Linked DNA regions of Notamacropus eugenii. The protein of the gene in region 1 interacts with the protein of each later gene in a pairwise test. Links are inferred from orthologs where the notes say so. Each region holds a gene or a part of one and is shown on either strand. Other genes may lie near its edges.

Region 1 (7,468 bases):
AAAGGAAATGCAAAATGTATTTCATTACGCTACTAAAAGCACAGACACAAACAGCTTTAACTTTTTATCTTTTTCCTCATTTCCTTAGAACATTCTGACCTTATTTGAAAGTATTTACTATCATTTTTTACCTTACATTCCTGGCATTTGATATTACTAACACAAACCTTAGGTCAGGGTTTGGAGTATAAGTCTTTTCTAGAAGTTTTGAGGTAAACTCTACTTCAGTGTATATCTTTATAGCTCAAGTATGTGAAATCATGTCATTAGGTAAATTCACACCAGTCAAATGACTTTTTAAAAAGGAAATCTGACTGTGGTTATGAGGGAATTACTCACTCTCAAAACATTTTTCCAAGTTTGCAGACCTGTAATTCAACCTGAACTTCTTTCCTGAAGGTAACACTGACTATTTACTTATACTTAGGTAAAAAGTTGCATTAGGAAGTAACTGCCTACTTCTGGAAGGACTTTGCTTCATTTTGTTATTTTGTGTTGGGGTTTTGACTGATCTTCTTATTGTTAATTTTAAAAACAGGTTTCATGACTCAATACCCATATTAAGAAGGCCCTGTTTCCAATGAAGATGTTATTAAGCTGCTTCATCATAAAAACTGAATCAGTACTTCTAATCTTGAAGCACTTAATATGGTCCAAGTACATTAGCTTTGTGGAAGTCATTTTCAAGTAATATGCTGGCATGGATAGAATGAAAATATAAAAGAAAAGTTGTTAAAACAGTCAAGGTCAGAAATGAGACAAGTTTGTAAAGTGGAAATTCTAGACTTCCAAATGCTTTAAAACATACCAAGTAAGTTGTCTTGAGAAGGAGCAACAGTTGAAAGAGAAATAATGAAGACCTATTGTGCATGTAATCCCAAAATGTGAATAAGAAGTTCCAAGCTTTCTAAATTTAACTGTAATTATTAAAAACACTGCAGTGATGTCCTTGATATATTTAATATTAATAATATTATATCTTATACATATGTTATAACATAATTAAATTAATAATTAATATAAACACTGCACTAATGTGCTTGATAAAAGTTAATGTTAACTATTAGAATATTTTATATATAACATAATAATTATATTTAATATTATAAACACTGCACTAACGTGCTTGATAAAGTTAATGTTAAATATTAGCATTATATTTTACACATAATAATATAACATAATAATTATAATATTTAACATTATAAACACTGCACTAACGTGCTTGATAAAGTTAATGTTAAATATTAGTATATTTTATACATAATATAACACAATAATTATAATATTTAACATTATAAACACGTGCTTGATATATTTTTCCAGAGGCCACTAACCTTTCTAACTACCCCATTTCTTTCACTGACCAATTTTCAACATTATCATTACATACTTACCTAGCTTTAAAAGCTTAAAAGTGACTGCTTCTCACAAGTCACCTTAACCACAGCCCAAACAACTTCCTGTATTGAAAGTCATTACCAAAACCAAAGACTCGTAATGAATGCTCATTTTAAAGTGTAACCGAAATGACAGAACGGAGCCTCCAAGGCCTTCATTCACGTGACTGGGGGGGGGGGTCACACTTCACCCCCTCCAACACAAAGTGCTTTGTTTACACCATGAGAAGTATCTTAAGACCAGGAAAGGCCCGGCACGACTTACTCTGTTTTCCTCCTCCGCTTGTCCTCAAAGACGTCATTGAGGCTGATGGCCACCTGCCCCAAGAACTTATCCAGCCCCACCAGAGACCGGTGCATGACCACCAGGTGCAAGACGCACTTCTCGGGGCCGCCCTGCACCAGCAGCCCGGGCAGCTCGAAGGAAGCCTCCTCCTTCCAGACGGGCTCCAGGGTCTTCTCCGCCACGGAGGTGGAGTACTTCTCCTTGCCCAGCTGGATGATGGTGTACGTGTCATTGGTGCCACTTTTGCCTTTGGGCTTCAGATCTTTGGCTTGAAGCACGGTGACCTGCACGTGGGTGGGAAACCACTTCTGGGCTTGCTCGGACAACATCATTTTGTCTTTTATTTTGGGGGGGTCCCCGGGACGGCACGGAGGGAGACGCGAGCAGAGGTACAAATAACCGGAGTTCCCCGAGCCTCAGTCTCCGAGGAGGAGGGCACTCGCTCTCACGAGGAGCTCCAAGTTGCCCGATTTCTATTTACTTCCTGTCCGAAAAAAATAGCCCGCGTGCCTCGGGGTCCGACGAAGCGGCTGCCCCCCAGGCCCCCGCCCGCCGCCGCCGCCGCCTCTGGGGCCTGGCCAGGGGCTGGCATCCCCGGGCCGGCCCGGGGTCCGCCGCTCGCCCCTCGGCTACCCCCCCCCCACGAAGCTGGGAGGGATCAGGTTTTGGGGGGTAGTCGGGGCTCCCTATCGGCCCGGCCTCGGGAGCAGGGGAGGCCCGCTCGGGGCACCTGGCGCCCGGAGGGGCGGGGCGGGGCGCGGCGGGGAAGGGGAGCTCGCCGTGGGGCTCCCGGGGCTAGGTCTCCCTCCTCGGGCCAGGGCCGCCCCCGCCCGCCGCACCTGCTCGGGCCCCCGCCCCCGCCTCGCTCCCAGCTGGCGCTCAGGCGGGCCCGGGCCCCCAGCCCCCGGCTAATACGAACCCCCGGAGGCTCGGGCTCGGGCGGCTCCCCTGTCCCTCTTTCTCTCTCTCCTCCTCCTCCTCCTGCCCTCCTCTCGCCTGCTGCTCCTCCTCCTCCTCCTCTCCTCAGGAGCAGGGGCTGCCGAGCCGCGGCCCTCGCTTCTCGGTCACTTAAGGGGCTGGGCCGGTACGGACGCCGGCGGGACGTGAGAACAGGCCGGGGCTAAGGGGTCTTTTCAGGGCCCGGTAGCGCCCTTGGGCGGGCGAGCGGCCGGCGGCTGGGGCGACACTTCCGGTCTGGGCTTCTCCATGTTGGAACGTGACGGGGGGAGGGCGCGGCGACGGGGAGGTCAGGGGTCAAGCGCCTCCCTGGTTGCCATGGTATCCGTAGGCCGCCCAGGCCCGAGGCATGACTTTGAGGTGGGGAAGGTGGAAAAAGCAAGCAGCCTCTCTTTGGAATCCTAGAGTGGAGGGGATCTAAAAGACCATTTGGCCTGAAGGGTTTTTTTGTACAGATGGGGAAACTGAGGCCCCCCGGAGGCCCAAAGTTCGCCGTGCCCGGAGGCAGCTCCGACACCACGTGCTGCCGTAGGGCCCCATAGCCCCGCCCTTCACTGATACTGAATAGGAAACTGACATCCGAAGATAAGCACCTGACCTAGGGCACAGAGCTGGCTACGGTGGAACCAGGGCTACAGTCAAGGCAACCAGCATTTATTAAGCACCAACGGTGTGTCAGACGCTTTACTAAGCACTGGAGATATCTCAAAGAAAGGAAAAAAAACAACAGCCCCTGCTCTCAAGGAGCTCAGACTACTGGGGGGAAACTGCATGTCAACAACTGTACCAGGCATACAAGTCAGCACACCCGTTTTTCCCCACCAGCCTCCTAAGCAATGCATGCTGTCTTCCTCCACATTTTTTTTCACTAGATTGATCTACGAGGAAAGATTCTCTCAACGTTGGAGGCTCAGAGGAGAGCAAAAGATTAGACAATTCAACTCAGAAAACGTTAGTGTCTCACTTTGTAGAATGCATTGTGGGATACAAAGACAAAAATAAATTTTTTTGTAACTATTCCTTCCTCCAAGAAACTTACATTCTACCCGCATGAAACAGCATGGGCTCAAGTAAGCACAAATATGTATGAAGTAAATCCAAAGATTTCCAAACTTCCCACATCAAACCAACTACCTATAGAGAGAGATTGCCAAGCCCATTTCCCCTCCTCTCAGGAAGACAAAATGCGCACCCTAACAACAAGTATTTGTTGATCTAAATTGGCAAAAAGGATGGGTGATAAGACTTGAAGTTCAAATAATCCTGGTTGCCTATCTACTTGAAGCTCATAGTCTAATATTGACCTTATCAGGATTTTACTCCCAACTTTCCTGTATAATCTTAACTGGATTAAATGGAGTCAGAAGATGTAGATTCAAATTCTGATTGTGTTACTAACCTCTGTGACTTTGGAGAAATTACTTCATCTCCATAGACCTGGACTTTCCTAGTCAGTAAGAGAAAGGTATGACCAGATAACATCTAAATCTTACATACTAAACTACTCTCTAGTGATGGGATTTCAAGGTGGGCATTGTGGAAGACCCAGAGAGAGACAAATAAGACCTGGCCGGGATGATTTTAGGCATACATGAGTGACTGCCTGCTTTTCTTTTGTTTAGGATTAGGCCTCAGTAGAGGGAGTGTAGGAGTCTGGGTTTGGAAGTAGCTTGACCTAGCAGAAACAGCCTACTTTGTCACTCCCTTCAAGGAGCTTCCATTCTAATGGGGAGAGGGAGACCAAGTTGCTTGGAGGTGGGGAGCTGGGGAGTATGGTAATGATAATCCTGAGTACAACAAAAGTGTCTTTTTCTTCCCTACTAGACTGAAAGCTCCATAATTACAAGATGTGTGTCATATATCTTTGTGTCTCAGAGCATCTCGTTTGGATGTCATAAGCAATAAATATTTGTGAGTCCTTAGCTAACTCACACTTTGAAAACTTCATAGCTTAAGGTTTTATTCCTATGTTCAGGGAATATTCAAAGGCTCTCCATCTGACAACTTTTTTATGTCCTCAGATAAAATAATTTTAAATGACCCTTCCCTTTCCTTCCTTTCCAATAGCACCATGTTCACAGGCCCCTTCTATAGAACTGAATTGAACTGTAAGAAGCAAAGGGAAGTTGGGGGCATGTTAATTACATGAAATGTTTTATGTTTGCAAGTATGTGAAGTATATTTAGTGGAAAATACTTGAAGAGAGAGAAAATTATCCCTTTTATCACGGAAAAGAAGAGATGCTGTACTTACTTTGAGGAATAGCACGACAGAGATAAAAGACTATATACCAGGGACCTTGCCCATATCTTCCAGTCTTTCAAAGCTGTTGGGAGGTGAAGAATTTTGAGAACAGATTTCCCTCAAAGGTGTAGGGCATATCTACTATTTCTTTAGCACCCCTTACACACGGTACTTTTCTTGGTATTTTATATATAGTGGGAACTATGTCTTATTAAAGACTAGAAGGCAAATCAGTTTGTTGAGGTTATCAAACACCAGAGACCCACAACATAATCCCAGACTAAAGATAACTCAGAACAAAAGAACTGCGTTTTAAGTCATCCCCAAAGGTTTTACCTTAATGAATTAAAAAAAGAGGGAGAATATAATGCATTCAAGTAAGACAACATATTGTTGTTTCAAAGGTGGAACTTGGGGGTTACACGTGGAAAGTCAAATCAATACAAAGATCAATAATGTGAATTATAAGCACAAATCTGTTATCTGTGTCCTAGAGTGGGCAATTGTCAGTTATAAAGAAGTTGATTCCTAGAAATTTTTAAAAAGACCAGTGCAATGGTAGAATTTGTTTAAAAAAAAAAACCAGTTTGATAGCTAAAATCTGAAAACATCTTGTGAAGTTTTATTTTAATGAAAATTGCATAAACCTAAGTTGCATTCGTAAAAAATAATCTTTCAAGTAACTGTTAAGTGTTTTTTAATCGTAATAATGCATCAATAAAGAACAGTAATAATATCAAATGTTTCTGAAACAAACTGCTAGATAAACTTTATAAAATTATTATAAATATGTTTACAAATATATCACTTCACCCATCTTTGAAATAATGTATAGTCATATCTAGGGTCTAAGTTAGAAGCTGTTAAATGTAATAAATAACAAACTGAACACAATTTTATGCTGATGACAAAGGTGAGAGAACAGCCAGTCCTTTGAGTGAATTTCTGAGTGCTTTTCCCATATCACCTAAATTCCCTTTAAGGCTTTCCAAGTATTGACCAGAAGAAAAGCTACTTGAAATTGTCATTTTGTCAGATTCAGACCTTGACTCTAGACCCTGCAGGCCAATTAACAGCTTTTATTAAACACCTGCTGTGTCAGGAAATGTGCTCAGTGTCAGATAAACAAGACAAGATTGCATGTTCCTTGGTCTCAAGGAACTTACACTCCAATAAAGCTAATTAGACATATATACAGATAAATATGTTACAATTAACTACGAAAGAAGAATAAAAAGTACTAGGAAAGTTGTTCCTCCTTCATTCTGGAAGAGGACATCAGGAAGGTAGTGCTTTCACTTGCTTGCGAATTGAATTTAAGTGAGGCAGAGTTGCACAAAGTCACCAGCCTTGTTCTCTCCTCCAGAGTCATCAAAGTCCAGTGGCAAGACAGAAGTCAAGACAACTTTTGCTGGCCTTCAATAAGTACTTTTCCTTGGCTATCAAAGTTAGATGAGGAAGGAATCACTTCTTGATGGAAAGTTCAGGAAAGAGCTTCATGAAGGTAGTAGTATCTAAGCTTCTGCCTTGAAGAATGGCTTGAACATTGGCAGACTGAGATAGGAGAAAGGATCTCCCCAACAGGGAATAACACAGAGGGAATGTAAAGGGAGGAGACCATAGGAAAATCCAATTTGAGTGGAACGAAGAGTATGAAAAAAATTCTTCCTGATGATTAAGCTATGTAGGAAGGACTGGCTTCAGTACCCAGGTATAGGCAAAATCTGGTTTAGGCCCAAGAAGGATTGCTTGAAAAAAATGTAGCCTTTGTCATTACCTTGAGACTTTGGCCCCTTGAAAGAAATTGGATAAAGGGTGGATACTAGGTTGAGAAAATTGCCAGGGTCTTTCTGTCTAAGGAAAAGGAGAACTATCTTGCCATGAAGTTACAATGAACCCTGTTTAATAAGGGAAAGAAAGGTAGAGACATTACTCCAATGGCTAAAATTCATCCTCAGCTGCATTGAATATTTTGTATTTGCATAAAACCCCTTTCTGATGGTTCTGATAACTGAAGGATGGATGGGGATAGGCAATGCGTATCTTATTAGTCTCATTTTACAGAAGAAGAAATAGATTCTAAGAAGTTAAAAAACCATTATCACACAGTTAGCAAATGCCTGAGGCAGAATTTGGGCTAGGTTTCCTGACTGCAATTCATTATGTTAGTTATTCTTCCATACTCGAGGACACATGAAAAATTGAAAACCATTCTGTGTCACTGATTTTTTTTTCAAAATATTGACCAGACAAGAGCCAAGAAAAGACTCTTTGAGCATACTCCAAGATATCTTCCTCTGAAGCCATAGTAGCTCATTAATAACTATTTTTTGAGACTGGTCATTCAATCTGACTGTACTAATATCTAGCCAATATTTATCTTGTCAAGGATAATATAGAAGACATTCCTAAATTTTTTGTTAAATATAAAGATACTAAATTTGTAGCATTCTTTTGATTTATTAATGTAGATACCTTGTCAAAAAGGAAGATATATTTCTTCAGGTATTACCTGTTCTTATTTATGTCATACTGACTCACCATTTCCTTTTTTAAATGCTTACACACCATCCGTTTAAAT
Region 2 (7,468 bases), on another chromosome or scaffold:
AGACTCAACATAAATGCAAAAAGAGAACTTTCTCACCCTCTCTTTTCCCAGCACCCATGGTGACAATAGTCTCCCTGGACATATGCTTGGGCCAGGGTCAGGACTGAAAAAGGTACTTCACCGAGAGAGGAATAAGAGAGGATCCAGGCCCAGCCTTGGAATCTAGCCCTTCCATCTTGAAGAGACAGTGTTTACTCATTTCTTGCCCTTCTTTAATCTGTTGCCCTCTTAAGGGTAAACCTATGGTACCAACATACTAATAGGCAAGGGCTTTCCCTCTCCCCATCCACCCTGTTACACAGAAGAGTTTTATAAGCACAAGTGAATGGGAGGGGCTGGGTTGCCTAACCCTGGGGACTAGAGGGGAAGAAGCCCAGCTTCTGGGCTCATGACTGACTAGGAGTCTTGCCTAGCTGTCTTCAGTCATATTGACTGGACTAGGATCACAGGACCAAGAACTGGGGGATCTAGAATGGTGACCTACCTCAGAGCATCGCTATTTTGAAGCCCTGCCCTGGGGTCTTATGAGGGGTCAGGGTAATTTGTAAATAATTGCCTTGTAAAAAAATTCACTATCTTTTGGGTTTTAGAGTCTGGCTGGGATTACCAGGCCTCCTCAGATTTGTTTGTAATAAAAGGAATGAAAGAATCTCAAGATTGGAAGGGTCATCAATTCATCCAGTCCAAACAGGAATCACTAATGTGATCTCCAGAAGCATTCACTTGCAGATGTTTAGGGATGAAGAATTCACCACTTCATCCCTAAAAGGCCTGTTTTTGCACAGCTCTGCTAGTGAGGAGGTTCTTTACATCAAGGTGAAATTTGCCTCCTATGGAAGGCCATGCAGAACACTGTTTTCTACATCATGGTGTTTCAAGTTATGTCTTTCCTCTTTACACAACCCCACCCACCCAAATGTTCTCCAGTCAAAATATCCCCAGATCCTTCAACCAGTCCTCGTATAGCTTGACTTGGAGGCCATTTGTCTCACTGTATTCTTTGAATGCATTTAAGTTTTTAAGAAATCAATCAACCGGCCTTGATTAATATGTTCTTGGCACTGTGCTTTATGTGTGAATATTCACTATATTATGCAAGTCAACAACTGAAAGAGAAACAGGGAAGGAAAAGATAACCCATGTTAACCAGGATTAAGTGAGCTATAGTCCCCTCAGTCTCAGAAAACATCATAAGGGAAGGTCAGCCTGTTCTCCCTGCACCCATTCCTCCTTACTACCATCTTACATATTTGTCTGGAGACCCTGCTGTTAACCACTTCAGACTCACTGTTTTAAAGAATGTAGGTCTTGCTTCCTTTTTAACCTCCTTCATGGTGTACTAATCTACCTAAAGACTTGGGACCTAGGCTCTCACCCAAACAGACGGTATAGGCAGTGACTAGGCTTACCTGGGAGGCTACTGCTTATCTGATTCCTCTTTTTGTGGTTTTCGAGAGGTAGGAGACAATAAAATTTTAGGCAAGCTTTTTGAAAGATGCTTTGCAAATATCTCATTTTTGTTCTTGTGAGAACCCTGGAAGGTAGGGACTATTATCTCTAGTTTATAAAAGAAAACTGAGGCAGGCAGACTAAATGACTTGCCCAGAAACACACAACTCATCGGTGTCAGGCTATATTAGAACTCAGGTCTTCCATACTCCAGGTCTAGCTCTCTATGCACTGAACAACCTGTCTGCCCATGCCAGGTTTGAGTGGAGCCTGTCTGTATTAATGGCAAATGGTGACCAGGCAGTTCTCTGCAGTAGCAGCATGATTGTTTTAGGTTTCATTTTTTTTTTTTTTAATAATAACAGGGTCAGAGACTTAATGAAGTTGGACAGGACCTTTGCAGTCCAAACCCTCATTTTACAGATGAAGAAACTGAGGCCCAGAGAGGAAGAGGACAAGTGGCTTGCTGGAGGGTACACAGATAATATATGACTGAGGCAGGTCGTCTGACTTCAATTCTACTCCTTTCATCACTGCCACGCTTCCTCTGTCATCTAATTTGTATTATGGTTGTACCATGTGTGGACTTGATCTCTATCTCACTGAGACACCTCTCTGCCCCACCAGATTCTTAACCAGGTTATGCCTGCTACTGAGGGCAACCTAATATACTTGGCAGATATGTCTCTTGAGATCAAGGGGGCATGACTGGGCAAGACAGTGGCTAGGGGCTGGATGACCAGTGGGTCTGAGATGGGGTCAGATTGGGGTGGACAGGCAATTAGGTGAGGTGGCAGTGAGCAGTGGGGTGCTGGTGAATGTGAGAGGTGGTAGTCAGTGGGGGAGTGACCAGGCAAGGATAGATGATGGTCAGCTTCGGAGTGCTGGGTGATTTGTAGGTAGGGTGTCTGGGGTGATGAGTGGGCTTCTGGGATGGTGCGATGGGGTGGGGTGACCCTTGGGTCTCCGGGGTGACGTTCAGCAGCGGGGTGACCTTCGGCAGTGAAGTGATGCGGTGGTCTAGGAGGGGGTCATCGGGGGGCTAGTGAGACTCGGGGGTGGCGGGCAGTAGGAGGGTCTCCGAGGGGGTGCTGAGCAGTGGAGGGATGGGTGGTCAGCGGCACGGTAGCCACAGAGCCTCGGAGGTGGTGGTCTGCAACTGGGGCACCCGTCAGTTCAGTCCTTTTTGTTTCCCTGAATTAATGACGCCAAAGTACTCTAGAGGAAGGAGCTGTGCCGCGCGCGTGACGTCACGGCAACGTTACTCCCTTTTCAGTCCTCAGGCCTAATAGGTCATTTCCTTTTTCAGGCTCCGCCCCTTCCAATCCCAGCCCTTCCCCGTGGCCTACGCCCCTTTCCTCCCGTAAACTTTTCTCTCTCTGCCTTTCATTGGCTTAGCGGAACATCAATTTCCTTCTGTTTCTCGACTCTGCCTCCCGTCTCTTGTGTCCGTCTCCTATAGGTTAATATCACTGTCACTTCAGGAAGCCCCTCCCCTCCCCTTCCGTCGGTTTCAGGCCCGCGGTAGGTGGAAGCAGTGGGTTGGTCCCACACTGGTCGCTAGTTCTGATAGGGTAACCACGGTGTCAGTCGCGCCCCCGCCCCGCGGCCGATAGGCCGGTGGAACTGTCGTTCGGCGGCCGGTCGGGCTCCGCCCCCCAGTCGGGTGTTTGTGGTGGGGCTGCGGAGACGGGCCCGATCCCGCCGGAAGAGCCGAGACAATGGGGACCCGGGACGACGAGTACGACTACCTGTTCAAAGGTGCCCGGCGCTGAGGCGGGGAGGGCTGAGTGAGAGAGCGGACCCTTCGGGGAGTGCGGCCCCCTCCCTGCTGGCGGCCTCAGTCCCGGCGTCGCGCTCCGCCGGGCTGGAAAGGGACCTCCGCGGGCCCTAGCGGGGGCGTCGGAACCGGAGCCGAGGCCTGGACCGGGGGCGAGGACGAAGGGGAGCTGACACGGGGTGTCGGGCCCGGAGAGGGTGTCGGGCCCGGAGGGGGCGGCTGCACAGAGCCGTCGGTGTTACTGAACAAGGGGGTTGCGGGGCCCTGGCTAGAAGGTGGGGGAGGGGTAGGTTGCACTTAGTGGGGAGGGGGTTGGTGACTGCTGAAAGGGGGAGGGGGGCCGGGCGCGGTAGGTACTGACAGCTGGCTGGGAACCGTAGTGATGGTCCTGGAACTCGGGAGGGAGCCCGGGAAGAAAGGGGGCGGGGACCTAGGAGCAGAAAATAGTGTGGGTCGGGGTCGCCCGGGTTGGAGGGATCCTAGGACTCGAGGAGGAGGAAGAAGGAAAGAAGACCAGGGGGTAGAGAAAAGCTGCGCGAGATGTTCAGGAAGGCGACTCTGGGGAGCTGGCTGGGAAGACACCCCGGAGACTAGGCAGGGGCTCGAGCCGGGCACCTCTCGTTGACTTGACTCCAGCCTGGCTGCCGAGGCCAGTTAAGCCCCTGCGAGGTGAAAGACACTGTGCTAAGCGCTGGGGAGACCGAGGAGGAAAAACAAATGGGTTGGGGTCACTGGACAAGATTCTTAAGACCGCCGAAAGGAGAAAGGGAGTCGGGAGGAGATACTGGGGAGCAGGACCAGGAGGGAAGGCAATAGAGGATATCTTGGAAGGAAAATGGGGGGAGGGGGAGAAAAATTAGAGAATGGAGAGAGACAGGGAGCTTGCAGAGAGGAAGGGAGGGAGATGGGGAAAGTGTAGTAGAGATTTGAATGGAGTATGGAGAGAAAAGAGGAGTGAAGATTGAGGCCAGGCAGGTTGAATGCAGGAGGAACTCATTTAAGAGGAGTGATTGTGTCAGATATGGGAAAGGCAGAGAGAACTAAGGTTCACAGGATGGAAAGAGAGCATTAGGACTGAGGATAAAAGATATGTGGAGTGATTTATGTAGGGGGAGCTTGTAATGGGACTTAGCCGGTGTTGCTATACAGGACTTTACTCCTGGAGAGGGATGTCTGAGCAGCCTTGTACTCTAGATAAAAGACAAACTTCTCTGAGGCAAAAGAATCCAGGGCATTAGAGTGGGGGATCCCTAGATTAACTGGGATCCTTCCCTCACTACCTTTACTTCTCAGACATACTCAGAACTCCTTGACCTGGAGATGAGGTGCTGATTCTGACTGATCTGACTGATCAGGAATTGGGCAAGCTTTCTTTTCTGAAGCCAGAGGGCTAGGCATTAGACCTTCTAAAATTCTTACCATTGAGTAGCCAACAGGCTAGCCTGGAAGTGCCCAAGGGTTCCAGCAAAGAGGTACTAGGTAGACATGAAAAATGTCTATTTTTCTTATCCCTGGGTCTGGTACCTTGGACTGTTGGCTCTTCAAAATACTTGTTCCTTGGTTTTTCTTTCATCTGAGACTCTTTAAGTTAAATCAAGGATGTGATCTCTTTTTCTTCTTGTGCCTAGGACTGGCTGACCGCTATATTAGTGTATTCCAAGTCCTTGTTCACTGTGCTCTGTCTGAACTACAAATCCTCCTGGCCTCTGCTCCTCTGCTTTAGTTATATCTCCTCTGCTGTCCACCTCATCATCACTCTATTTTTCCAACACACTCTTATTACTAAAACTCCTAGAGACCCCAAATGGAAAGGGCTCATTTTTCACAGCTGACCTAAGAAGCACTGCTCAGGAAATCCTTCTGTCTCATAGTACTGAAATGTCAGTTACTTAAATATTTATTTTCTAAAGACATTTATTTATAAGAATCTCTTAATCTATACATGCCTGAGTTCAAATATAACATTTTAGAAAAGAAATTAATCTTGAGTCCCCCCAAATTTTCTCAGTTACAATGATTTAAAAATAAGTTTGTAAAAAGAATTTGATCACACACTTTTAGACTCCTGTATAATAGTAAATGAGATCCTCAATATGTGTTTCCATGCATTTAGTATACAGGATGTCCAAAAGTATTAGGCTTTGCTAGTTTAAAATTGCACTAAGACTTTTGAAACACCCTGTATGTGAGCTGCTACAAAACAAGCCCTGCTCTGCTCAGCACTGATTTCAGGTACCTGGTGTTTATTTGAGCCCGTGCCCAAAGATTGCTGTCTCCTGAGTTATAGGGTTTACACTTCCACTGCCTTCAGCCTTCCTTCTGTGTGTCCTTTGGCTTTCATGGATCCCAGTTATTCAAGTCTTCTGCCCTCTTCCACCCAAAAGGAGTATGTTCATTATGTCACGAACAGTTGTCAGAGATGAAAAGTAATGTAGTATACCTTTTAGTCAACAAAGTAGCCTAACAAGCATATTTTAAGCACTTACTATGTTCCTGGCTCTAAAGGATACAAAGAAAGGCTAAAGCAGCTCCTGCCGTTGAGGGTATTTTAATGTGGGAGACAACATGTGTATAACAGAGGCATGTTCAATATATCTGCATGGTAGATGGTAGGTAATGTGAGATGGGAAGACAGCTAAGGGAACCAGGAAAGGTCTGCAGAAGGTGGCAGGGTTTGAGCCGAATATTGGAGGAAGCCCTGGAAACTAAGAGGCCGAAGGGGGAGAACAGAGCATTACAGGCATGGCTGCTAGCCAGTAGAAAAGGACAGGGAGTCATATTTGATTAAGTGCAAATAGGCTAGTGTAGCTGGATTTTAGGATGCTTGGAGGAGAGTAAAGTATAAGAAGATAGCACTTATACCAGGTTGTGAACAAATATAAATGCCAAGCAGAGGACTTTATAACCTTTGTAGCTGAGTGGAGGATATATTAGAGTGGGGAGGAACTTGAGGTAAAGGGACCAGATAGAAGGCTGTTGGAATAGTCCAGGTGAGAGATGATAAAGACTTGAAATAGGGTTGTGACTGTGTAAGTAAAGAAGGGAGCAGATAGGGAAGACATTGTAAAGGTAGTAATGAGAAGCTTTGGCAGTGGAGCAGATGTGGGGGCAATCGAAGGATGACCATGAGGGTTTGAGCTGGGCTGCTAGGGAGTGGGGTGGAGAGTTGGGCCTGGGCTCTTCAGGGCACCAAGCAGGAGAAGCAAAATGGAGATAGCTCTGAAGTTCAAATCTCAATGAGAGGGGCAGTGATGGTTTGGATGTCATTAAACATCTTCCCTTTGTGCTTCAAAAATAGATCTATTTGCATTTTTCTTAAGTGTGCTGTGGAAAGCAGTGGAATAAAAGGTTAGGGTTAAACTCTTGGGTGTGAGAGTTGTCTGGCAAGTTATTTAACCTTTGAGCCTAAATTTCCCCAACTGTAAAATAGGCATAATAACATTTAGACTATTTGGCATGGTTATTACAAGGATCAAAGGAGATTATAAAAGCCTCTTAAATGATATACAAATTGACTTTTTTTTTAAACTAGATTAGAAAACAACAATATGACAGAAATCATCTTTTGATAGCATATCTGGAAATGAAAAACAAGTTGGTGTTGTTTTTTTTAAGTTCTTGACAGGCGAGAGCAGGTAAGGTGGGGATATTACCAGAAGAAGTCCAGACCATCTCTCTTGTTACCTTGTACATAGAGTCTCCTCTTGGTCAGGTGCTACTCGGTTATAGTTTTTCTGAATTATCTGACTTTGTTTTTCTTCTGTTGTGTAGTCTCACTACTCTTTAAATGAAGGGCAGCTAGGTGGTGCAGTGGATAGAGCACCAGTGCAGGAGTCTGGAGGACCTGAGTTCAAATTTCACTTCAGACACTTGACACTCACTAGCTGTGTGACCTTGGGCAAGTCACTTAACCCCAATGGCCTCATCCTGGGTCATCTCCAGTCATCCTGATGAATATCTGGCCACTAGATTCAGATGGCTCTGGAGAAGTGAGGCTGGTGACCTGCACAGCCCTCCCTCACTCAAAACAAAGTCAAGTGCAAGTCATGTCATTATTTCTCTGATGGCATGGTCTTCTTCAGCAACGAAGGACGAACACACACACACTCTCACACTCTTTTCATGGCTGGATTTCAGTTAAAAGTCAAATCTGATTTTTTAGATTAAAATTATGGGAAATTAAAATGAGTGGAAAGTCTGTGGCAATCTATGCATACTTGTTACAAGGTTTTTATTTCT

The links.
Region 2: the proteins of RAB11FIP2 (region 1) and RAB11B interact in binary tests that used the Homo sapiens proteins (3 or more experiments, as listed by UniProt). The link is inferred for Notamacropus eugenii from reciprocal best matches to the Homo sapiens genes RAB11FIP2 and RAB11B.

The regions. Positions count from the first base shown.
Region 1 is NC_092872.1:197,809,898-197,817,365, forward strand, and holds the start of RAB11FIP2 (rab11 family-interacting protein 2), read right to left. Parts: upstream 4,319-7,468; 5' UTR 2,019-4,318; coding exon 1,666-2,018; intron 1-1,665. UniProt on the Homo sapiens protein: A Rab11 effector binding preferentially phosphatidylinositol 3,4,5-trisphosphate (PtdInsP3) and phosphatidic acid (PA) and acting in the regulation of the transport of vesicles from the endosomal recycling compartment (ERC) to the plasma membrane.
Region 2 is NC_092875.1:52,175,047-52,182,514, reverse strand, and holds the start of RAB11B (ras-related protein Rab-11B), read left to right. Parts: upstream 1-3,004; 5' UTR 3,005-3,170; coding exon 3,171-3,210; intron 3,211-7,468. UniProt on the Homo sapiens protein: The small GTPases Rab are key regulators of intracellular membrane trafficking, from the formation of transport vesicles to their fusion with membranes.